Linked DNA regions of Arabidopsis thaliana. The protein of the gene in region 4 interacts with the protein of the main gene of each other region in a biochemical or structural test. Each region holds a gene or a part of one and is shown on either strand. Other genes may lie near its edges.

Region 1 (5,396 bases), on a different chromosome or scaffold from region 4:
GTTCAAGATTTGGAATCGTTTTCTTTCTCCACCAATCGTAGTAATACTTCTTTTTGTGTTTGTTGAAATTTTGCAAGATTCTCTCTTCCTCTGGTTAATACACATAACTTACTTGGTAAGCTTGGCTGCATTTTCTTTTCAAGCTTTTAATCAAAGACTCACTAGAAATTGCAAAGGCAAACATAAAATTATGTGATCAAACTCCTACTGTGAGTTTTTGGTTACAAACAAAAGTTAAAAACAAAAGCTTGATATTTAAAAGATAAACTCAACACATATGCATTTGACTGGCGCACAGAAGACAATTCAAGACTTGGGAAAACAGTGAGCCATCAAAATCGTCAGATAATTCAGGGAATATATTGAATGTGGAGATGTGGTAATCACACTATTGCACACAAAGAGTGGCAAACAAGCGGCGCCCTTGGTTTGGTATAGTAAGAGACAATTGTTTTGGACTGTTTGTGTTGCCATATTCACAAAAATACTATTGAGCTATGTATGTTAAACATTATGGTCAATGAGTAGTAGTGAACATTCAAGTTTTTTTTTTTTTCCACTTCAAGTTTTTCATCTTATTATTATTTTTCGTTGTGATGCAGTAGTACGGCCCATCTTCACCAGTAGTATATCAAAGCCGAAACAGATGACAAATTGTTTAACATGCACTTGGATTATTATTGAGAGTTGAAATACAAAGGCCCGTTACAAGCCCAAACGAAGGTACATAAAAGAAAAGCAGAAAATGAAAACGAAATCGATAGGGATAAGTTTTTCCAACTGACGGAAACACAAACTACACCAGGTGAAATAGATCACCTCCCAAGTGCATGAGACACGAACCAACCACTTATCATCAGATCACAAAAAGCTTAGAAGCTTCCACCACGAAGACGAAGAACCAAGTGAAGAGTCGACTCCTTCTGGATGTTGTAATCTGCAAGTGTGCGACCATCCTCAAGCTGTTTTCCAGCGAAGATGAGTCTCTGTTGGTCTGGTGGGATCCCTTCCTTGTCCTGAATCTTAGCCTTGACATTATCGATGGTGTCTGAGCTTTCAACCTCCAGAGTAATGGTCTTTCCGGTAAGGGTCTTCACAAAGATCTGCATACCACCACGGAGACGAAGCACAAGATGAAGTGTCGACTCCTTTTGGATGTTGTAATCTGCAAGGGTGCGTCCATCTTCGAGCTGCTTACCGGCAAAGATAAGCCTCTGCTGATCCGGAGGAATTCCCTCTTTATCTTGGATCTTAGCTTTGACATTGTCAATGGTGTCTGAACTCTCAACCTCAAGGGTGATTGTTTTACCAGTGAGGGTCTTGACAAAGATTTGCATACCACCTCTGAGACGAAGCACCAAATGAAGGGTCGACTCCTTTTGAATGTTGTAGTCAGCAAGAGTTCTTCCGTCTTCAAGCTGCTTACCGGCAAAGATAAGTCTCTGCTGATCCGGAGGGATTCCTTCCTTGTCCTGGATCTTTGCTTTGACGTTGTCAATAGTGTCAGAGCTCTCAACCTCCAAAGTAATGGTCTTGCCAGTCAGAGTCTTGACAAAGATTTGCATACCACCTCTTAAACGGAGAACCAAATGAAGGGTTGATTCTTTCTGAATGTTGTAATCGGCCAAGGTACGGCCATCTTCTAGCTGTTTACCGGCGAATATTAATCTTTGCTGATCCGGAGGAATGCCTTCCTTGTCCTGAATCTTTGCCTTAACATTGTCGATGGTGTCAGAGCTCTCAACCTCGAGAGTGATAGTCTTGCCAGTGAGTGTTTTCACGAAGATTTGCATCTGAAATAAAACAATAGAACAAGTAGAAACCAATCAGCGAACATATACCAAATCAAAAGCCGTAAGAGAAATCAAAACAACACCAAAGAGAAACGGATCTAAACATAAGAAACCTAAAACAGAGAGAATCGAACAAAGAAAACACAAAAATTGAATAGATCGTCCTTGAAAATCCTAATTTCACAATCAAGCAAGAAATTACACAGATGTAAACACTACGAATCGATATCTTAGTAATCAGGACAAAATTTAGAAGCTGGATTGACGAAACGAACAATATTGTCAAAAGCAATTTATACAAAAGATTCAATAATCCACATAACAAAAATTGGAGATCAGATACGAATCAAAAACAAAAAGAATCAGAAAATATACCTTGAAAGAGAGAGTCGCGAGAGATTTGCAGAGATCGCTTTAGGCTTTGGGAGAGATTGAAGAGTCAGAAAAAGACGAAAGGATGAATTATTATCTTCCACACGAAGGTCTTCTTTATATCGCAAACCAAAAGCCCAAAACCGTCTTTTCTATTAATGAGAATAAAATATCTTTAGCCAAAACAAAAAAAGGAAGATATCAGTTGAGGATTATTATCACGAAACTAAAGGAAGGAATCATATGATACGTGTCATATTTTCCACCGTGCGTTTTTAAAAGACCGACTCAAGTAGAAACATCCTATGGTGGTGGTTGGATTAGGTCATCCATTACATCTGCTTCACTGACATTTTTCTATTTTTCTTTTTGTATATACTTTTCCTCAAATAATTTCTTTCTTTTCTATAGAAGAATTTAATCAATAAGGAAAAAGTTCAAAAAAGATTCTTTCCATTAAGACTATGTCTTGGTTAACCCAACCCATTAAGAATAAGCAATCATAATATATATAGAGAATACTAATACTATATATGAGATTTTTCTTTTAATTTCATGTTGATTATGATAGTTTATCTTCTTGATTTAATTTATCAATACTTGGCATAAAAGATTCTAATCTACTCTAATAAAGAAAAGAAAAAAAAGTATCTACCATTGACTAATTAAAATAAGGAAACTTATCTACCAAATTTGAGTATTTTTTAGAACAATCTTTTTGGTTTAATTCCAAAACTCTAAACCTAATTGTTGGGAAAAAGGACCTAATTTTTAAGAAAAGTTAATAATTAGAAGATCTGTATGTTTTTTTTTTTGATCCAAGTTTTTATTTCTTTTCTCTTTTTTTCATGATAAAATCTATGTTTTTTTAGTCTACAATTAAAGTAATTGTTATTATTTTCTTTATCTTTTTTTGTTGTTGTTGTTAATTCCCTTTTTTTTTTTTTAACAGCAACTTCTTAAAAAAAAAAACAGTTGGGCCTTGAATTTATTTCAGGCCTGCGTTATTAAGCCCAGATAATAACTCAAAACAAAAAAAATGTTGAACCGGAATAAACCCGCGAGATTAAATGCCGGTTTTCAGGTAACATAGAAGAAGAATATATGAGGATTGAAGAAGTATTCAAGAGGCGGAACAATTCACAAGTCCAAGAGCTTAAATTTCTCCTCACTCTTCTGCTACAGACTCGGAACTCTTTCTCTTTGCTAAAATAAGATGTTCAGGATTTTTGTTGCCCGACAATTCATGTATCTCACACTCTCTCTCTTCTCTGTTCTTACTACTCTGTTACATTACCACCAACTCAAGACTTTCTTCCACAATGGCGTTTATGAGACTTGGCTCCAAATCCGAAGCTTTCCATCGTGAAGGCCAAACCTGGTATTCTTTCTTCTGCATTGAATTAGACTAATCGACTTATAAGTCTTTGTTTCCGGTTTCGAGATCGAATTCTCTTCAATGTCGTTAATTTCTCTTGATTTTATATGTAATCAAGCTCTCATCTTTTTGTTGAAATCGAAATGGGCTCTTCCTAGAATCGTTAGTTATTGATGCAAGTTTCAAAGATCATATTTTTTTTGGAATTTAGCTCTGATTGATTTGTGACATCAATAATCAATTTTGTACGGACAAGTATATTCTGTTTTGGGTGGTGGTTTATGTCTCTCTCTTGTCTTACAGGCTTTGCACTACAGGACTCGTGAGTGATGTTACCATTGAAGTTGGAGACATGAAGTTTCATCTCCACAAGGTTAAATTTTCTCTATCTTCTCTGTTTATTTAGTCCTAGTTTTGATGTAATTGCATAAATGTGAAAGCTTGATGATCTAACTGTGTAATGTGTGTTCTTGATTTGTGTGTAGTTTCCGTTACTATCTAGAAGTGGGCTTCTTGAGAGGTTAATCGAAGAGTCTTCAACTGATGATGGATCAGGCTGTGTGTTGAGCTTAGATGAGATACCGGGAGGCGGCAAAACGTTTGAGCTTGTTACCAAATTCTGCTACGGTGTGAAAATTGAGCTTACTGCTTTCAATGTTGTTAGCCTTAGATGTGCAGCTGAGTACCTTGAGATGACTGATAACTATGGAGAAGGGAATCTTGTTGGTATGACTGAGACTTTCCTCAACGAGGTGTTTGGGAACTGGACTGACTCGATCAAAGCTCTTCAGACATGTGAGGAAGTGATTGATTACGCTGAAGATCTTCACATTATCTCCAGGTGTGTTGATTCGTTAGCTGTCAAAGCGTGCGCTGATCCAAGCCTTTTCAATTGGCCCGTGGGAGGAGGAAAGAACGCAACGAGCGGGCAGAACACTGAAGATGAATCGCATTTGTGGAATGGAATCTCTGCCTCTGGAAAGATGCTGCAACATACTGGTGAAGATTGGTGGTTTGATGACGCTTCTTTTCTTAGCTTGCCTCTCTTTAAAAGACTCATTACCGCTATTGAAGCACGTGGCATGAAGCTCGAGAATATAGCGATGGCGGTTATGTACTATACAAGGAAACATGTTCCTCTGATGAATAGACAAGTAAACATGGATGAGCAAGTGATTGAGACACCAAATCCTTCTGAAGAAGACCAAAAAACTTGTCTTGAAGAGATTGTCGGGTTGCTTCCAAGCAAGAAAGGTGTAAACCCGACCAAGTTTCTTCTCAGGCTGCTTCAAACTGCAATGGTGCTTCACGCAAGCCAATCCTCGAGGGAGAATCTGGAGAGACGAATTGGAAATCAGTTAGACCAAGCTGCTCTAGTTGATCTTCTTATACCAAACATGGGATACTCTGAAACGCTTTACGATGTTGAATGCGTCTTGAGAATGATCGAACAGTTTGTTTCGTCAACGGAACAAGCAGGCATTGTCCCTTCTCCTTGCATCATCGAAGAAGGACATTTGGTGAAGGATGGAGCTGATTTGCTAACTCCAACAACGTTAGTGGCAACTCTTGTTGACGGTTATCTTGCTGAGGTGGCACCCGATGTGAACCTGAAGCTGGCGAAGTTCGAAGCCATTGCTGCTGCAATCCCTGACTATGCAAGGCCACTAGATGATGGAGTTTATCACGCAATTGACGTGTACCTGAAGGTAATAAAGATACTGTTTCTAATTTTAACCAGTCCATGTATTAAGATTTTGATGCTGGATTGCAAATTTTGCAGGCGCATCCGTGGATTACTGATTCAGAGAGAGAGCACATATGCAGACTCATGAATTGCCAGAAGCTCTCAT
Region 2 (6,247 bases), on a different chromosome or scaffold from region 4:
ATCATATAATTAGAATGTGGGAATTTATAAATATATACAGAACTGTAGTGACATACATTAATTTATTACGAATTTAAAACATGAGATCGGGGTTAGCTATATGATATAATGACAACGTGAGAATTATAACTATATACAAAAACTGTGTTTATTAATTTATTACGAATTTAAAACATTAGATCGGAGTTAGCTATAATACATAATGACAACATGAGAATTTATAAATATATACAATAATAATAGTGTCATCCATTGGTTTATTACGTACGAATTTCAAACATTAGTGTTGAAATTTTCTTTCCGTAACTAAACCTTCAAGTCCGATGATGTATACTATATGATTATATATACATTTCATATCCCTTTGACAGATGTAGTTTACAAGACAGAACGAAATATGAAAGTATATGGTGGTAAATGGTGGTAAATGGTGTTGCCATATTTAATTACAGCGATCGAGTGTGGTGAAAAAGAAAAGAGAAGAGAAAGAATTTTGTTGGTGTCAGTGAGGGAAAAAAGTGAACGTTGGTTACGGAGATGAGAGAATCAAAGAGGTCCACACGACAATCACTGCACCTGATAACGTTTTAGGTCCCACGACCCTTACAATGCTACAGTCCTCATGTCACCACCACAATCAATCTCTTTTTTGTTAATGCACCACAATCAATCTCTCTCTCTCTCTCTCTTTCTCTACTTATTGAATTTGTATAATTTATACATTCAATGATATATTATATAGTCTGCATTCACATTTATTTTTATTTGTTTTCTGTCTTCATCCTTTTTGTAAAAACTTATATTTAACCCATGCGAAAACAGATTTTTAAAACTTCAGATTATTTATCTTGATTCTTGAATATATGACCGATCGATGTTGAGTGAATATTTTCTTTCACAACATAATAATAGATTTTATAAAGTAAATTATGTTCTAATTAAACACTATCAATTTACAAATTGTTAATATTACTTTCTAAAGGCATACAAACACAAAAAGAATATACTGAAACAATCAAATATTTTTGGTGTACTTCGTCAAAAAAAAAGAAACAAAATTTTGAGCCATAACTTTGTACGCGACATTCAAACTATATCACTTTCTAATTAATTCTCATAGTCTAAACTAGTCTTGATATAATATTATCATCATATACAAAACCAGTTTTAACAATATCATGATATAATAGTATTAGATATCTCATCATATACAAAATCAGATTGATTGTTTAGTGGGGACAAACGACAAAGAAACAGAGATAAAATGAATCATATACTAAAAAAAGCATTTAATATATTTCATAGCATATAAGATCAAACGAGATATTTTTATGTTTTTTGTATCGTTTTCGTTCGACCATGTAAAACAAACGAGACACTTTGCTGTTTTCTATTAGCTTTGAAACAACTACTTCAAGGGCCAAATATAACAGAGATTGGTGGGCCAATAGAGAGAGGCCCATCTCATTCCTTGATAAAATAGTTTCTCAATTTTTTTTGTATTAACACTTAAAAAAACGTAATGTTACTAAAAAAACAGTAAGATTATACTTTGATGTATATGTTACTATTATTACTATAGGAACCAACATTGTTTGACGAATACTTTTTAGAATTTTTCTTTATGTATAATTAATTTCTTAATGGATAAAGAAAACGAAGATGATTGAGAATCGAGACGACAGTGACACTATCAGAAGAAGAAAAAAAACAATTAAAAACAATAATGATAAAAAAAAGTGTCATATTCTCCTCAAAATCCAAAAAACCTGACATAAAAAATCTCGTGTACTATTTAATCACTCACTCACAAGAAAAATCAAATTTAAAATCAAGTAAAAAAATCAAAATTAAAAAGAAAATCTCACGTGTTTTTTTTTTTTTTTTTACTTAGCAAAAAAAATTACTACAGAAAATAAAAAAAATTAACGGTGAAAACAAAAGTTTTACACAGCCGCCGAACGCCGTCACCGCTACCGCCGTCGGCAGAAAATCCCACCGTTAAAATGTTTTTGTGTGTGTCTAATCTTGCTGATCCTCCTCATCACCACCTCCAAGTGATCCACTAGCTTGAGAGTCGCCGGAAACTTGCCGTCCGTACTGGTTCAAGCCGGAGAGAATATTATGATGATGTTGTTGTTGATGATGATGATGTCTCTGTGTATTATGATGATCACCACCACCGTCACTTCTTCCTCCTTCATTATTATTACTATCTTCATTAATCTCATGATTACTAGTTGTTGCTAGCTGTTGTTGTCCAGTAAGAAATGCCATTGGCGCTGCGAAATTCATAAAATGTAAACCGCTAGAAACCGCGCCGCTTGGAACGCCCGAAACGCCACTTCTATATAACGCTGCCGCTGCCGTGTTAATGGAAGGAAACGTCCAAACAGGCTCTCCACCGCCGCCACCAGTACCAATAGAAGCTGTCATAAGACCACCTGTTTGGTTGTTATTACCACCACCACCACCTGCAGCCGCAGCCGCCGCAACCATCCAGAAATTTCCCGGTATTTGTTGCGCGGCGGCTGCGGTGGCTGTAGATCCACTGTTGCTAGATTGAAGTGTATATCCTCCGATTTGATCATGTTGGTGTTGTTGTTGTTGTTGATGCAAATCCGACGTCGTTTGGATTCTTCTTTTCTTCTCCGAGTTTAACTCTTCAGAATCTTGATCTCCTTCTTGCTTTGTTGGATTATGAAAGTTCAAAAACGACGTCGTTGGTGTGAAGTTATCAATACCAGGAAACAAAGACGACGTAGGTGCACGTCCCTGTAGATGGGGATGATGAAACCCAACACCACCACCACGTTGTTGTTGTTGTTGTTGTTGAAGCATCGCCGGAGAAAATATGTTATTAGGGCTAAAAGTGGAAGCGGCGGAGCGGAAATGAGAAGGAAGAGACATGGAAGAGCCTGAAGAACGGAGAGAGATGTTTAAAGAAGTGAAATTCGCCGGGATTGTTCCGGTTCCGGTGGCGGCGATTACAGATGGTTCAGCTTGTTGAAGAAGCCACTCTATTGTCTCACCGTCGGATTTATGACCTAGCTCTCGCGTTAGCTGAAAAACCCTAGCTGCACATAACGCCGGCATCCTTATTCTCCTCCCTCTTCCGTCTACTTTCGTGTGTCGGTCTTTCGTCGACGCTCGTTTCAACGGTGGCTTTTTAGCTGCCACCACCGCAGATTCCTCTTGCGTTTGTAATAACTCTTTTTGCGTTGTCTGCGGTTGTGACTTTTGCGATTGCGATTGAGGTTGCGATTGAGATAATTGTTGGTGTTGATGGAGAGAAAATAGAGAGGAGGAGGAGGAAGGGGAAGGTTGTTGTTGATGGTTGTCGTCGGGGTCGTGTTTTCCGAGTAGTTGAAAAGGGAAAGTAGGGCGGTGGTGATGGTGGAGGTGACGGTGGTGATCATCTCCTCCTCCTCCTCCGACGCTGTCTCCACCGTCCATTATGACATTTAAGATACTTGATGTTGGCTTTTGCATATATAAGTGGGGAGCTATAACTATTTTATATATATTTTATAAATTAGGGTTTTTGGTTTTTTATTTATATGTGATGTTTTCGACAAGAGGGGAAAAAAAATAAAGTGTATAAGTCTGAAGGAATTGATTGAGAAAGAGAGGATAAGAAAGAGAGAGACAATGGAGAAGAAAAGCTTAAAGAAACAAAGATCATGAGTGAGAATTATATGGGTGAGCTTTACATAACATTAAAAAATTAAAAGAAAAATCTCATTACATATCTTTTTTTTTTCAAATGAAAATACTGTTCATTGCTTCTTTATGAAAATTACTTAAAATCATATACTTAGAGAAATGTCAACAATGGGAATATCATTTAATAGTTGAAGAAAAGAAAGTGTCATTTAATCAACGCAAAAATGAATTGATGTAATTAGCCAATGTGAATATTTCAACGTTAATTTCTGCTCAATCAAAATCAGTCTGTTATAGTTAACTTAATCCGAATTATATCAAATTATTTTTCACGTTAATTATTTTCTCAGATAAGCATTTAGTCAACTTTTTAAAACAGTAAAAAAAAAAAAAGGTTTAAACAAAATAAATCTGTCCATAATCAAAAGATTTCGGTATATCTTTCATTATATTCTTTTCTCGATGTAGATTTACTCATCAATCAAATGAAAAAAAAAACACCCACCGTAAAAAAGGGCTACAATATTCACCGTACAACGAAAATACTTTTCACGACTAGTTAAAAATGGAAAAATCTGAACGTTGCGTTAATAAATGAGATGAAAAAATGTACAATGTGGAGTCTTTAATATATAGTAAATGTAAGAAAAATATGTCATATATGTGAAGGGGATATGGTTGGAGAGAGTCGTTGTGGCAGCAGAGTCCACGTGAGGTGTCCTCTTTTATCATTCATTCCATAAAGACAATGGAGAGGTCGACGAGAGAGTGATGGGGCCAACACTCCTCTCCAAATTAAACAACTCAATTTGGTCAAAAATTTAGTAATTTATTTCAAAACGTTTTGGGTCCTACATCATTCACGTAATCATTCTTCCCCTGCTACTTTTGCCGGAAACTAGAAACATTATCATTGTTATTCACAATTTTAAACCCAAGCATTATTCGTTTTTATTTAATCAGATAGCAAATCTCTATACAAAAAAAGTGAAGAACTATGGTATGTAACACCACTGCCCAAAAGTTGATTTATGTATGTTATCAAATAAATAGGGTTTTTCAAAAAAAAAAGAAAAAACTAAAAGTATGAATAAAATGAGACTTTTAGCATTTTAACCAACCTCTCTGTTTTTCTATTATAAATGTCTATTTTTGTTTTTTCAAAGTAAAAGAACTACTTATTAAGGCTTTGAAATATTGTAAACTAAACTCTATTAATAATACATATGGAAACTATGACTATTTTGATAAAAATAAAAATATATGATCATAGATGTCATATATATAAATATATATATATATGTTAATGAATGTATTTGATGAAGAATTTTTGTAAATAACATATGATATGTGATATGTGTTATTATTCGAAGAAATGATATAGTTTAATATTACGTACACATATTACAAACTGTTTCGACGTATTACATATTTGTTGTTTAAATAAGCACCATAAACGTATATTTAAAATAAAGAAGCAAAAGTTTCAACAACAATTAAGATTATAAAAAGAGCATAAAGAATCGAAAGTATGGTAGAGTAAATGTGGATGATGATGATAGCTTTGGGATTCCCTCTCTTGTTATAAAATATAAAACTTTGATAAATATGCATGATTATATATGATGATGGTACTTGCTTTCGTTTCGTCTATTGGGGTCTTAATTAAATGCTTAATTAGGATTTAATTAAAAATATCTGGCACTATAGCTAGGGCTCAACCTTGAATAATTACTTCTTTTAGTTTAATAACTTAAACCAATTCACTAATCAATTGGTTTTGTACTATAAATTAATTATTGTAGATTGCAGTCTACTCCCACCTAGGACGGAATCAAATGGATTGTTCATATTCATAAATGTAAAATGACAGAAACACAAGTGGTCGGTCTAAATTATAAATATTACTTACCATGAGTCCTGTAAATTATAATTATTCCTTTATGTAAGAAATAATTAACACCCCCAATAGTCACATACGTACTTGCATTGTAATGAATAAATTATTGTTGGAAGATTGAATCTAACATTTTAAGTATCATTTTACAGGCAGGTTTACTATATATATATATACTCTTGAAATTTGATTTTAATAGGGTGATCGATACCGGACCTACCCGCCCTTAGCTAGATAGTAATATAGTATATACACACTTTGTGTTAGAATAGATAGTATATTGTTGTAATATTTATATTGATGATTGATCTCATCGATATTTCAAGTAACTAGAATTTGGATACGTACCAGCAAAAATGTTTAGATACCGACTACCGAGTGTCACCATTTTGTATAGTTAATAGTAAAACACATCTGCTGAACTGAAATAAATTTATATCGTAGTTACTTGACAGAATCATATAAACAATTACTAATACTTTCTTTTACAGTTAATGTTCTTATGTAATATCTAAACTTAAAAGAAACTTTTCGTACTACGATCCGTCTCTGATAATATATAGTACTATATATGTATTCAAAATTTGGAATATATCAATAGGATGATTCATATAATTAGAGAATATGTTATTTTAACCTAAAATATAATTTAAAATTAGTTTTCAAATCAAAGTATAGTTACGT
Region 3 (5,533 bases), on a different chromosome or scaffold from region 4:
CACAAACCTATACTTGAGTACTCTCTTTTTTTTTTCTCTTAGCCCAATACGTGGGCCTTACAAAACATTTAATAAATAGGCCTTATGAGATCCCATGTCATATATCTAGCCCATCAATACCAATCAATGGGGATGGAGAAAATATATTCACTATCCAAACTGGGCTGGAACTTAGAAAAGTATCATCTAATTAGTTCTTTTTCTTTCATAAATGAAAAGGTTCAAAACATTTTGTGATTATAGATAAATATATCTTCTTTATCATGATATCTTCCAGAAATATATAGAATGATTATAGTGAAGAAGAAGAATGATTAAACAAAATAGATAAGCAAGTGATGGAATGATGATCATCTAATCTTTTCCAGATCAAAAACAAAGAACCCACATGAATACACTCTTCTATAATGGTACTTAACTACTTATAACTACGTAGATCCATACATCTATATTTTAAGCATACTTTAGTGAACATTTTAATTCCTTTTGGACCTATTGAGTAATGCCAGATTACTACTACTTGATCTACTTGTTGTGCCCTTTCCTTTTGTTGCAGATTTCTTTTTACTATAAAATAAAACGCCGACATAGAAACAATGATCGGTCATGACTCGTATCTTATTGTTTATCTAGAAAGTAATACGTAAACAATAATATACAAATATCAAAAAAGATTCATGACATCATCTGTGTTTTAGTGTCTATATATACATTTTACTTTTGTCATCGTGAAATCTAGTTTAGTTTAGCCGCCAATTGATATGATTATTGAGATCATCAAATAGACGTTCGTCTATAAATGCTTGATATCAACCGTTAGTAAAAAAAAATGCATGTATGTCACAATATTTGACTTTCTTTAATTACCATATTTGATTAATTGATAGAACATATGGATGAGGTTATATAACCGACATGCCTATGATGTCAAGGAATGGTTCACACCGATCTATAGAAGTTTCAAGTATTATTTCCATAATAAACTGATATATAATTTATATTGTTTATATTAACAGGATGTGTGTGCATTATTTTAGAATTATTAACGTCATAATTCCCATGCTCGTTGATTTATACACCTTTCTCTATGTATACCCATGCATGGTAAGAACGTATCACATACATTATACTAAAATAAATCCAATAATGTAGACCGACACAAAATGCAGCGATATGGACCATATGGTTATTACGCATGTTACATAGACTTGTGTATTTTTCTGTATAACGAAAAATTCCTGGTTATTTTGTATATCATCAATGTATATGTCTCAATTAATTATAGACATATATAATCTATGTTTCATCCAACGAAAACACTTCAGAAATAAATGATCAAGCTGAAATCTATAACCATCAAAAGTTTTTAGTTCTAACTTCAATCTATAAATTTGTTTATAGACATTGTTTTTAAAACACATTTTTCTCTGATTTTCAGCAGAAAATGAAATATATATTCTTGGTATTTTTTGGGTATCCGAAAATTCACAAATATTGACGTATAAATACAGGTTCCTGCTTGGTGATGAGTTTCATAGATCCAGAGATTGTAAATCGTACGTGAGTCTTCAAACATAGCACCAGACTAATTAAGTTCTTAGCTACCTTATACGGATAATGGACCTATATATTTTTTTTTTGATAATTCTCCTTGTATCTTTTGATTCATAATCAAATAATTTTGGTAATATCATTAGCAAAATTAAATGCCTTCAATTTTTGCAACGGCTATAAATTGAACGTATCCAAACCACCATGCGCATAAACCTACTGGCATTAATATGGCATCATATCTACAATGCATCCCCTCGTCAACACACTTATAATTAACCAAAACAATCACACTTAATGCTTTGACCTATATGATTTTGTTACTATATATATCTACATTATCTTAGCATAGTCACCAATAGACCAGTCAGGAGTAAGATGTTAATCATGCAAAGAAATTAACATATTAAAAGAGATAGCTAGAACCTGAATAATTGCTCACAATGCATAAGATGTAGCTTCTTCGAGACAATGTAACCATGAACGAAGTGGAAGATAATAATTTGGCATGCGAAATAATTTATTGATAATCCGTACTGAATTAATATACATATATAAAAATTGTTCAAAAACCCTAATCAAGTATTAGAAAACTCTCACACTCAATAGTAATGAGGAAAACATTTCACAAGACAACTACTTCAAGCAAAAATCTCTAGAATAATAAAACCAAAGCCTTGCATGCAAAAACCACAAACTAAAACATATCGATTATCAGGTTCTTAATTACTTACTCAATACATTAATCAGAAAAATAAACAAGATGAAATCCGTAGAATATTAGAATTTAGAAATAAATAAAAATATATGAAAAAGAAGCAATGCAAAAAAAACACGCTTGTTAAGAACAAACAAACAAACGAAAGGACAAAAAAAGAAAAATAAATCTCACAGAATATATTTGTTTGTGTATGTTTGCCTAGGAATGATGACTGGTGCTTCCATCTTCTTGATGGTTGTGATGATGATCTCCGTCACGGTTTTGCTGGTTGTTGTTATGGTTCCCCGTCTCCGCCACCGGTCGGTAAGCAGCATTCAACGCCGCTAAAACTCCATAATGGCTATGTTCTCCACCGCCACCTCCTCCTCCTCCATAACCAGAAGCCAAAGGCTGTCCAGAAAACAAAGCAATAGGAGCTGCAAAATTCATCAAATGAACTCCACTACCGCCGCCACTACCACCACTGTTGGGGTTGTAAACATCTCCGGCGACAACACCGGAATGATGAGGATTAATATTAAAAGCCCAAAGATTCTGTGTGTTGTCACCACTACTCCAAAACGGTGCCGTTGCAGGACTCTGACTCGTAGGTAAAGATCCAGCAGTTGATTGTACTAGATAGTTACCCATTTGGTTGTGATCTAAAAGCTGTGAAGAAGAAGAAGACGAAGAATGTGACTCGTTCTTGGGACGAACCTGATGCTGATGTTGAAGATGATGAGTCATGGACTGATGTGGTGAATGAAAGTAATAGCTACTAGGAGTTGTACGAAGATGAGCAGCAGAGAGAGAAGATCTTGAGCTACGAAGTGAGATGTTTAAAGAAGTGAAGTTAGCCGGAATGGTTCCAGTCCCTGTAGCGGCTATAACCGCTGGTTCTGCTTGTTGGAGTAGCCACTCAATAGTTTCACCGTCGGATTTGTGACCAAGCTCACGTGTGAGCTGAAAGACACGTGCAGCACACATGGCAGGCATACGGATCCGACGGCCTCGGCCTTCGACTTTGGTGTGTCGGTCTTTAGTAGAGGTTCGTTTAGGAGGAGGCTTCTTAGGTTCGGAGTTAGGTTCGGAAGTAGTAGAGATGATGGCTAAGGAAGTGGAAGAGGAGGAGGTAGAAGAATCAAGAAGCTGGAGAGGGAAGTTGGGTCGATGGTTATGATCCGGATCCGGATCCATGATGATGATGATGATGATGATCGAAGCTTTGGTGGTGGGGAAGTGGGACTATACTACTGTCTCTGTTAGATCTTTATGTGAGCCATAGTTTTTTTCTCTCTCTATAAATCTCTGTTTTTTTGCTGATACTTAGAGAGAGATAGAGAGGTTATAATATGGTCCTTAGGACATGAAACTCCTTTCAGATGGGAAGCTTAGCTGTGTCTATGTCTGAGAGAGAGAGAGAGATTAAAGCAATGAATATGAAAGCATGGACTTTTTTTTTCTCTTGCTGCTTTATATCTTTTGTGTTTTATTTTTGGAATTTTATTTACATTATAAACTATTCCCTTTGAGAATTTTTCGTTATTTTTGGAAATAAAAGAGATGGGCTTACGTGGTTCTCCAATCTGTACAAATATTCATTCAAATAAAATGTTTTTCCTTATTACGTACAGTGATCAAAGTGAGTGAAAATAAATGTTGTTCGTGTATTTATTGTGTTTGGATACATAGTTTTTTACAATAATACAATTACCCTATACGAACACTCTTTTTCATTCTTTACAATAATTAAAAAGTGACGTCAGTTTCTCGTCGTAACTGTTAACTTCAAGCGATCGGGAAATTAATTGCACATTTAGCGAAAATTTCAGCGATTCAGACAGAACTGAGAAGTTTACATATATTTTGTACATATGTGACAACAGAATAATAAATAGATAGAATTATTATTGACAGAATGACAGTGATTAATCCATGGCTCTATGGTAGTTCACGAGATCCACATGATATAATAGAATCCAACTGCTTTTTTTATGAAACAGATGGATTGTTTTTTCTCCTCTGTGACTCTTGAATGAGTTACCAGTTTGATATTATTATTTATAAAACCATAGTTACAGTGCTTTATAGATATATAAAAGCAAATTTGTAATGCTTCTCTTTTGTTTCCACCATTGGAGTTATCTCATTGACATACAATTGTCGTTAAAAGATGTAGCACTAAATTTAGAAAATTATTTTGATACTCTGATGTGGACAGAACATTGATCTTTTTTTTCTGAAACGAATTTTTATATGTAGTGAATAGTGATGAAGAAGGCTCCTTCTTATGTGATGATTATTCATATAAGCTGTTCAAAGAATCAAAATATACGGTGTTACATAGATTATACTACTAATTAGGACCAGCGTAATATATATATATATATATATATATATATATATATGGTAACGTTAAAAATATAATTGAATTAGAGAATACAAAAGAAAAAAATAATATAAAAGTAAATTCGAATTATTATGAAGATATTTTAAATAAATATTTTTTAAAAATCTCAAATTTGTGTTTTATAGAAATTGAGTGTAACAAAATAAATCCAAGTTATTACATAAACCAACATAAGCATGCATATAATAATTGCCAGGTAGTATATTTGAATATACATATGATTTTGTTAAAAGAAATGGAGAAAACCAATTATAAAAATTCTTACACATATTAATTTTGAGTTTAGGCAAATTCATCTTTCTTAGTATATATTGAAAATTGTAAAATATATTTGTTATAATCTTACTATTCTTTTTCAAATGTCTAAGCTTTATGAAGATAAAACTTCTCAAAAATCAAAATATAGTATTTTCTATTGTGGCTAATTATCGTCTCTTAGTTTAGACGAATCATTAACGTTACGTGTAAGGTGTAACTAGTTCTGATGATCTCTTAGGAACGTTGATTAGTCTAACTATTAGAAACTTTACGCATAGCCACATAAAACCTATGGGATGTCCAAACATTTTCGCCCAAACATATTTACAAATGACAAAATTTTATATTTTAATTACTTATATATGTGATATCTTTTTATGTTTTAACTAGAATATGTTCATTGACCATAATTTTCCCTCGTAAAATATAAATAACTAAAAGTATCGGCCTGCTTGTAGTAATTAGTAAACCAATCAAAATATCAAGAAAACTATATATCAAAGACTAAACAGAAAAGAAAACGAATTGATAGTTAAAAGGTGTTGTGCATATTTGACAAATCTAAAAAGCAAAACAATTACGATTCACAAATATGATCAGAAGATATTATGAAT
Region 4 (7,206 bases):
AATTCTCTGGTTCATGAATTCTGAAATAACAAAAAAAAAAGAAAAAGAAACAAAGGTTAATACGTTTTGTCACGTTACGTCGTTTTTGCCCTCGACAAGACATTATGAACGATCAATTCATTAGCCCTAATTCTAAATGACGAGTACTCTACCAACCATTAATTTTGTTAACATCATACGATATAATGTTGACGAATGACGATAATATCTAGAAAAAATTGAATTCTTAGAGGTGACTTTTAAAATATGTCATACCAAAGAAATATATCATGTCCACTAAAACGTCTTCACTTTAATCGATCGTAAAAACATCAAGAATCCGTTTGCTCTCCCTCTCCAACATGAGTATCCTCATTTTTTTTTAACAAAAACTTTTTAATATATACTTTAAAATTAGATTTCAATATTAGCAAAAAACCATTAATTTCTATATCGATGAATAAAATTTTGATTTGGTTATAAGAAAAAACATTAGCTTAAATAAAATTTGTTGAAACATAAACGCTTGATAGAGAAAATGTTTTAGAAAAAAAAACCAAAGAGAGAAGAAAGAAACGGCGACGAGGCGCCGCGACAAGTTGGATGAGGAAGTGGGAAACACGTGTGAATATATCATCCTATCTCTCTATGTTTATCCTCATATCCCACATCTTCACAATGTTTTTTGTATCTCTTTATCATCATTTGTTGATAATGTCTAATATTTATATTTGGAAATTAATGATTGACAATTGACTTGAGACGTTTTCGTTTTTTATACTCTAGAGAATTGACTGAACATCTCGATCGAGAGAACTCATCTTCCCATAATACTAAGTTACTTGAATGTTGTTTTACACGATCTTGTAGACCATAGTAGTTTTGATCAACAAAATATCATTTTACAAACGATAGAAAGATAGAGAGCATGGAGTGTATTTTTTCACAATGTCTGTATTTTAATTAACAGATGGCAAGCATGCATACTATAATATTAATCTAGTTAGACAGGTCAATATGAGGATACTTCTACATTCTACATATTTGACCTTCGTCCTCTCAGCGAATAGAAGAGCCATAATATACAGTACATATTATGATATAATGTGGAATTGTGGATATACAAGTCTATCCATTTTCGGATTTTCCTTATCTTTCATACTTTTATCCACTGGTCCAGATATGATGAAGTCAAACTAGTGATTGTAGTAATTTAGATTTTGAAAACAGAATAATTTGCTATCTAAGAAATAACAAGCAAAACGTTTGGCAAAAAAAGATAAAAACCAAGCCAAGAATTTTTGGTCTTGTTTCTTGACTCTTGATTTTTTACTTAAAAAGTGGAAACTTTATGACACTTAAATGTGTGTATTGTTGTAACCTATACATTTTTCTTTTTCTTTTCTTCTCAAGTCTATACTCTAAAAAACTATAACAAAGCTTGTTTTCTCTCTTTTTATAGTTTAAATTCCATTTAAGGAAATGTACCGGTCAAGCGAATATGGTCGAGGGTTCGCCTCAGACCATGCTTAAGAACTGCTTGGTTACCTTGCCTGAACCCATCCCCATATGCCGATGAAGAATCCGACTCGATTTGATGCTTGAAAAACTCACCAAGTTTCTTCTCAAAATCAGACCTCTCACCTTTCTTGGACGATGCTGACACCACAGCAGATGATGAAGAAGATGCGATGTCTACTAATGTAGAGCCAGCATAAGTCTCAGATTCCAACCACATGTGTGCTAAAACTTGACATATTCCTTCTTCCACTTCTGGTCTAAGATTTGGATACCCTACAGATATACACAGAGCAACAAAACATTTTTTGATATTTCCCTACGTTCAATTGCTCAACATAATGAGAAGGGAGTGTTCTTCAGATTACCATTTAGTCGAAGCCATGCATGCATCATCTCATGAGCAAGGATTGACCCGGTTAACAAACTGTACAAGTGTAATACGAAAATTTTAGATATCTTATAAAGACAAAAATTTGGTTTAGGAGTGTGTTGAGAAGTGTTTTTCTTTTACCGAGGAAGTCCATATAAAATGAGAATCGCAGTGACTTCACAACGACGTATCAGCCTGCAAGGCTCTGTGATCATGTCTATTAACTTGTAGCCTGCCCCAATTCTTGGTCTCCTTAACACCTATATCAACATCTTTCTGATTCAGAAGCAATTTGTGGTGGATAGCAATTCATTACAAACTTGGAAGAATGAATACCGTGGTGACAGTTTGTTCTTCAGACAAACAAAGTCCTCTAGTTTCAGGTAAATGATGATGTCCCTGCAGCAAAATTAGATAGAAGTAGGTTGAAACAAATGAGCGAGAGAGAAAGAGAGAGTATAAACATAGTATCAATAAGATATAGAGGTTTTACGTGTTTCTCTCCTTCCATAGCTTCGTTTAGAGCTGATCTCTCCACCAAAAGCATAGGAATTTGCTGTTCCACTTTCATATGTAAGCCTTCGTAAAATTCACGTATCTCAAGGTACAATGGTTGGCATTCATGAGTGTCCATAATGGCTGAGTCGAGACATTCAAGACACAGTTTTCGACCATCATCAAGAATGAGATATTTTGTATCTTTTGGCTGAAACCATGAGCCAAAAACAGAACAACATCTGGTTTTCGAATCAGATTCTTAAATTTATTTTCCTATTAACAGAAATGCTATATCGAACAACTGACCTCCATTCGCTCACAACTGCAACACCGAGGAGTTCCATCACGCTCATGTGAAGGACAATACTTTTGCATCCAAAAGGGATGTGCCCTATACTCAATAAGACCAGCTGGATTTGTCGGAATCTAGAGGAGTTACATTTATACATACACATTAAGCTTAGTACAACCTGGGAACAAATTTTGGGTAAAATATAGAGATCAACAGAAGTTGGCTATCACTCACAAAGTTATGGCAAACATCACATTTAGGATGATGCTGCTCCTTGTAACATAATTTGTGATAAGGCCGATTTCCTGACATTGAGAACTGTAAAACAAAGCTTGAACAGGTTAAGCTTCAAAAGAATCAGGAGGATACAATAATAATACTTAATAAAATGTATAGGGACCTCATAATCTATGATGGGCTTATCACATGCATTGCAACAGAAACATTCAGGATGCCAAACGCCACCCATGCAACTCAGAAACCTTCCATGTCCTATCTCAGCTTGGCAACCGACACATATCCTCCAAGAAAATAAACAAAGAAACAAAATTGACTCATTGGAGCTAATGTGATCATGCATCATATCACTATCTAGAGATGATAGTGTCTGAAAATCTAAGAAATGGACATTAATGTATTTTTGAACCATTTACCTGTGACTAGAAGGAATGAGGAAGGGATATGGTTGAAGTATATTTCCTGGATCATATCGAGGAGGAGATCCCACATTCATACTTTCTTGAAGGGCCTTGGCGAGTAGCTCATCTTCCTCCAGTTGGGCTTTAGAACGCCTCATTTCTTCCTCTTCTAATCGAGCTTTTGCAAGCAGTTTCTCTGTTTCTTCTAGTTGAGCTTCAGCTCTCCTTTTCTCTTCTTCCTCGATTTGAGCTTGAGCTACCCGTCTTTCCTCTTCCTCTGCTGCTTCTAGCTGAGCTCTCATGTATTCTTCATCCTCATCCTCATCGTCATCGTCATCTTCTTCGGTTTCAGATTTGTACTCTACAGAATATAAGGTTTAAGAAACAATTTAAGCAAGTTACATTTCCACACATAACTTTCTTTCTTCTCTTTGTTTTTCTCTATGCATTACCAACGGAGAATTAAACAACATTACCGATTATTTTCTTTCCTTTGTCATCTTGTGGAATTACATGTTCTTGTTCAGAAAGAGAAAGTGCAATAGCACATTCAATCTCCTCTTTGTCAAAATCAGATCCTTCCTGAATCAGAAATTCAAGAAACCCTTTTATCTTCAATTCAAAATGAACCAAAAAACAGTAAAGTTCACTTACCGCAGAATAACGAGGACCTTCCAAGTTTCTATCTTCTCTATATCTTCCATTACATTGTCCATCAGAAAACTTATGGCTAGAACCTTTAAGGATTTTAGTTAGCCACCCCATTGGCAACAACAATCCCTTACCTGCATAGAGAAACACTGTTATACATCCAAGAAAGAGAAGAAACTCCATGTCTTTTGTTTTTTTGTTTTTCCTTAATCAAGGATTAAGACAATAATTGGTAAGAAAGAATCAGACTGATCCAACAAAGAAAGTTAAATAATATGCAAATGGCAAAACAGCAATTGAAGAAGGTATTATTATAGGGAGATTGCATCAAATATAAAAGGGTTACCGAAATCTTAAAGACTGAATTGAAAATAAGGAACCAAAGTACGGAGCTTATTACAAACAATCTCAAGACCCTAAATTGTAATAATATCCAGAAAAAGATTATCCACATCATCCTCAAAACAATCAACCTAATCTACATTCATCATTCCAAATACCCATAAGAAGAAAAATGAAATCTTTATGAAGTTTATTACTGTTAAAGAAAAGGAATCTAAGTACAAGTCAAAAACAGAGTAAAGAGAAATCGCAAATTACCTGAAGGAGATGACAATAAAATTAGCAAAATTAGATGACCCTATGGATCAAAAAAGGAAACTCAATAAACATGATTCTTCAACTTCTCTCGATCACCCTAAAAATCAGGACTTTCTTAGGGAATTGACAGCAGAAACAGAGCAGCAATAGAGAGAGAGAAAGTGAAGGGAGACACTTGAATTCGAAGCAAAACCCTTTAGCTTTTAGAACCCGTGACTGTTAATTATCTTAAAAAGCGTGAAGAAAGCTTAATAAATGGAACAGAATAGAGAGAGAGAGATGAGTAGAGGATAAATCTCCATTAAACACACTTAAAGGTAAGAACTTTATGGAGAAGATGATGGAAATTGTTACGTTTTTTTTGGTTGGGAAGGTCAAGCAAGTGGGCACTTGTTTACAAAAAAAAAAACTAATCATATTATTTTACGGAAGAAATTATTAAGAAGGTTTATAGAAATCAAATGTTTGAAAAATTAAGAGAGAAGAAAAAAAAGAGCTGATGTTTACTAGCATTAACACTAGTGACACACAATCTTTGACTCTCCTCTAATTTACTCTTCTTTAGCCTTTTTTCAACACTCCTAAGTTGATGATTTTGCTCATGACTTTTACTATTCACAATAAAATACCGTTTTTTTCTTTCACATCAAATTTTTAATTAAAATTAATAGAAAAAAGTAAAATAAAACAAAAGTTTAATATACTTCAATGAATAATAACTCGCACATGAATGGAATAAATTTTGTGTCCAACACATCACCCTGTTCGAAATCCCCTGGTCTGTAAACCCAATTTTACACAAAAATACAAAGCAGAAATATAGAAACTGAAAAAAATCATTGAAAATTGTTAGTAGGTAAGGTTATCTAATACTTTATTTAGCTCAACCTAATGCATTATTTAGTTACATACGACCAAATTAATTGGAAAAATATAGACAATATTATCTGGATAATTAGATGAGATGACCCATTGCTAATCACAATTGTACATTACAGTTTCTTATATATATTATTATTTTATTTTTGTGGTTGAGATTAAATTTTGTTAGAAGGATCAAGAGAATTCGGTGGGTTCAATATAAAACCACATGTGAAAAAAAAAACGTGTATATTGTGATTAGCCAATCAATTAGTTGTTTAGGTGCCCAAACTTACTGTGCCACCGCAAGTTTTATCAAAATTAGGTGCTTAGCAAGATGATTCAACTACTCCAGGATATTTTATTTTCCTCTGTTAATATTTTTTTTTTCTGATTGTTTTATTTTAGTAGTAGTTGAATCAAGTGACGTTCTTTAAATTGTGATCCCACTCACTTCTTACGCAAGCAATGAATTAAAGTACTGCAATAGACAAACTTATTTGTTATATATTGGTCATCAAAGTTATCAATTAGCTTTCCAAAAATTTCACTTTATTCACATCTATAAATCATTGACACTAATACTGATGCCATATATTACTAAAGAAAAAAAGAAAGAAAGATAGTTGTATTATCCAGTGGCCATATATTTTAACCAGGCTTCTTAAGGCCCATATGGTAAATTTGGGCCGACGAATCAAAACCCTTATTGTAGAATAATTTTTAAGTTTAAATCAGTTACAGATAGTTGTATTATCAGTGGCCATATATCATATAATGATTGTGGGCTGGGTTTTTTTTTTTTTTGTCTAACAATTTTTGACGATAATATCTTTAATATTGAGCTACAAACAATTTTCATTTTAAAAAAATGCGCCGTTGAATCAAATAGAAAACAGAGAAATCATGTTGAAAAAAACAAAACAGTTAATTTAGAAAATAAAAATTTATGTATTGACAAAAATCCATTTTCATATTATATAATTACTCCCTTTTGACAAGAGAAGTTATTATTACTCTTCGACCATATCAATTTCTAAATTATTTTTAAGCATAAAAATAAAAAGAGTAAAAAAGATTTTGAAGCTTGGTGATGAAAAGTTGAAAACACAGGCTGTCACGCTGGATGATCAAAACACGTGGCACATTGAGGAACGTTGATCCCAGCATGGACCACAAATCCCACGTGGCCATGGCCATCCCTTGCCGGTTTTCCAGGTGGACCAATCAAAATTAATATGTCTCTTAGGACCATTTTTTTTATATGTACACGTTTTCATTTTGAAAACATATTGATAAGGAAAAATAAATCAAGCATTTTTTTAGTTGTAGATTACAACGACGGTGTGACTGGTTCGCTGCTTCTTTTTTCCATTGGGGACTTCTATAATTTAGTCACTACCAATAAATCATTCATCATAATTTAATTGCAAAGTACAGATATCTCCTAAACATGTTTATCAAAAAATGTTACTCCGTGTTCATCTACGATTTATATAAATATTAGAGATATAACACTACGGTCCTTATACATAAAAGAACTGAATTAAGTGTTTTGTATAATATTTTCTTATGTATTTATATATATATATACAAAAACATTATAACAAAATGGTCAAGATATCCAAAAAGCTACTATAACAAATGGTCCTAGCTAATTATTGGTGGTATATGAATCTAGACAAGGAAATAAATGATATGAATTCGTAGAGGTTGTTGTAATTGTATTAAGGTTTAAATTATACTCTTTAGATGCAAAATAAATAAAGAAATAAACAATAATAATTGGAAAGATA

Evidence for each region.
Region 1: the proteins of AT4G36860 (region 4) and UBQ3 form a complex in vitro, tested with the Arabidopsis thaliana proteins (one study listed by BioGRID).
Region 2: the proteins of AT4G36860 (region 4) and TCP14 form a complex in vitro, tested with the Arabidopsis thaliana proteins (one study listed by BioGRID).
Region 3: the proteins of AT4G36860 (region 4) and TCP15 form a complex in vitro, tested with the Arabidopsis thaliana proteins (one study listed by BioGRID).

What each region holds. Positions count from the first base shown.
Region 1 is NC_003076.8:771,104-776,499, forward strand, and holds UBQ3 (polyubiquitin 3), read right to left. Parts: upstream 2,411-5,396; 5' UTR 2,169-2,410; exon of another isoform or gene 1,794-2,168; coding exon 873-1,793; 3' UTR 557-872; downstream 1-556. Other genes in the region: AT5G03250 (Phototropic-responsive NPH3 family protein), read left to right, coding at 3,488-3,546, 3,847-3,916, 4,029-5,252, 5,327-5,396.
Region 2 is NC_003074.8:17,556,249-17,562,495, reverse strand, and holds TCP14 (TEOSINTE BRANCHED, cycloidea and PCF (TCP) 14), read right to left. Parts: upstream 3,704-6,247; 5' UTR 3,493-3,703; coding exon 2,023-3,492; 3' UTR 1,237-2,022; downstream 1-1,236. UniProt on the Arabidopsis thaliana protein: Transcription factor involved the regulation of plant development. Binds to the Up1 elements (5'-GGCCCAWW-3') in early light-induced proteins (ELIPs, e.g.
Region 3 is NC_003070.9:26,214,364-26,219,896, reverse strand, and holds TCP15 (TCP family transcription factor), read right to left. Parts: upstream 3,889-5,533; 5' UTR 3,449-3,888; coding exon 2,471-3,448; 3' UTR 1,826-2,470; downstream 1-1,825. UniProt on the Arabidopsis thaliana protein: Transcription factor involved the regulation of plant development. Together with TCP14, modulates plant stature by promoting cell division in young internodes. Represses cell proliferation in developing leaf blade and specific floral tissues.
Region 4 is NC_003075.7:17,357,127-17,364,332, forward strand, and holds AT4G36860 (LIM domain-containing protein), read right to left. Parts: upstream 4,989-7,206; 5' UTR 4,550-4,988; intron 4,084-4,549; 5' UTR 4,064-4,083; coding exon 3,775-4,063; intron 3,660-3,774; coding exon 3,314-3,659; intron 3,182-3,313; coding exon 3,061-3,181; intron 2,979-3,060; coding exon 2,895-2,978; intron 2,795-2,894; coding exon 2,675-2,794; intron 2,577-2,674; coding exon 2,364-2,576; intron 2,270-2,363; coding exon 2,207-2,269; intron 2,131-2,206; coding exon 2,012-2,130; intron 1,925-2,011; coding exon 1,866-1,924; coding exon of another isoform or gene 1,831-1,865; exon of another isoform or gene 1,774-1,830; coding exon 1,454-1,773; 3' UTR 1,245-1,453; downstream 1-1,244. UniProt on the Arabidopsis thaliana protein: Acts redundantly with DA1 and DAR2 to regulate endoreduplication during leaf development.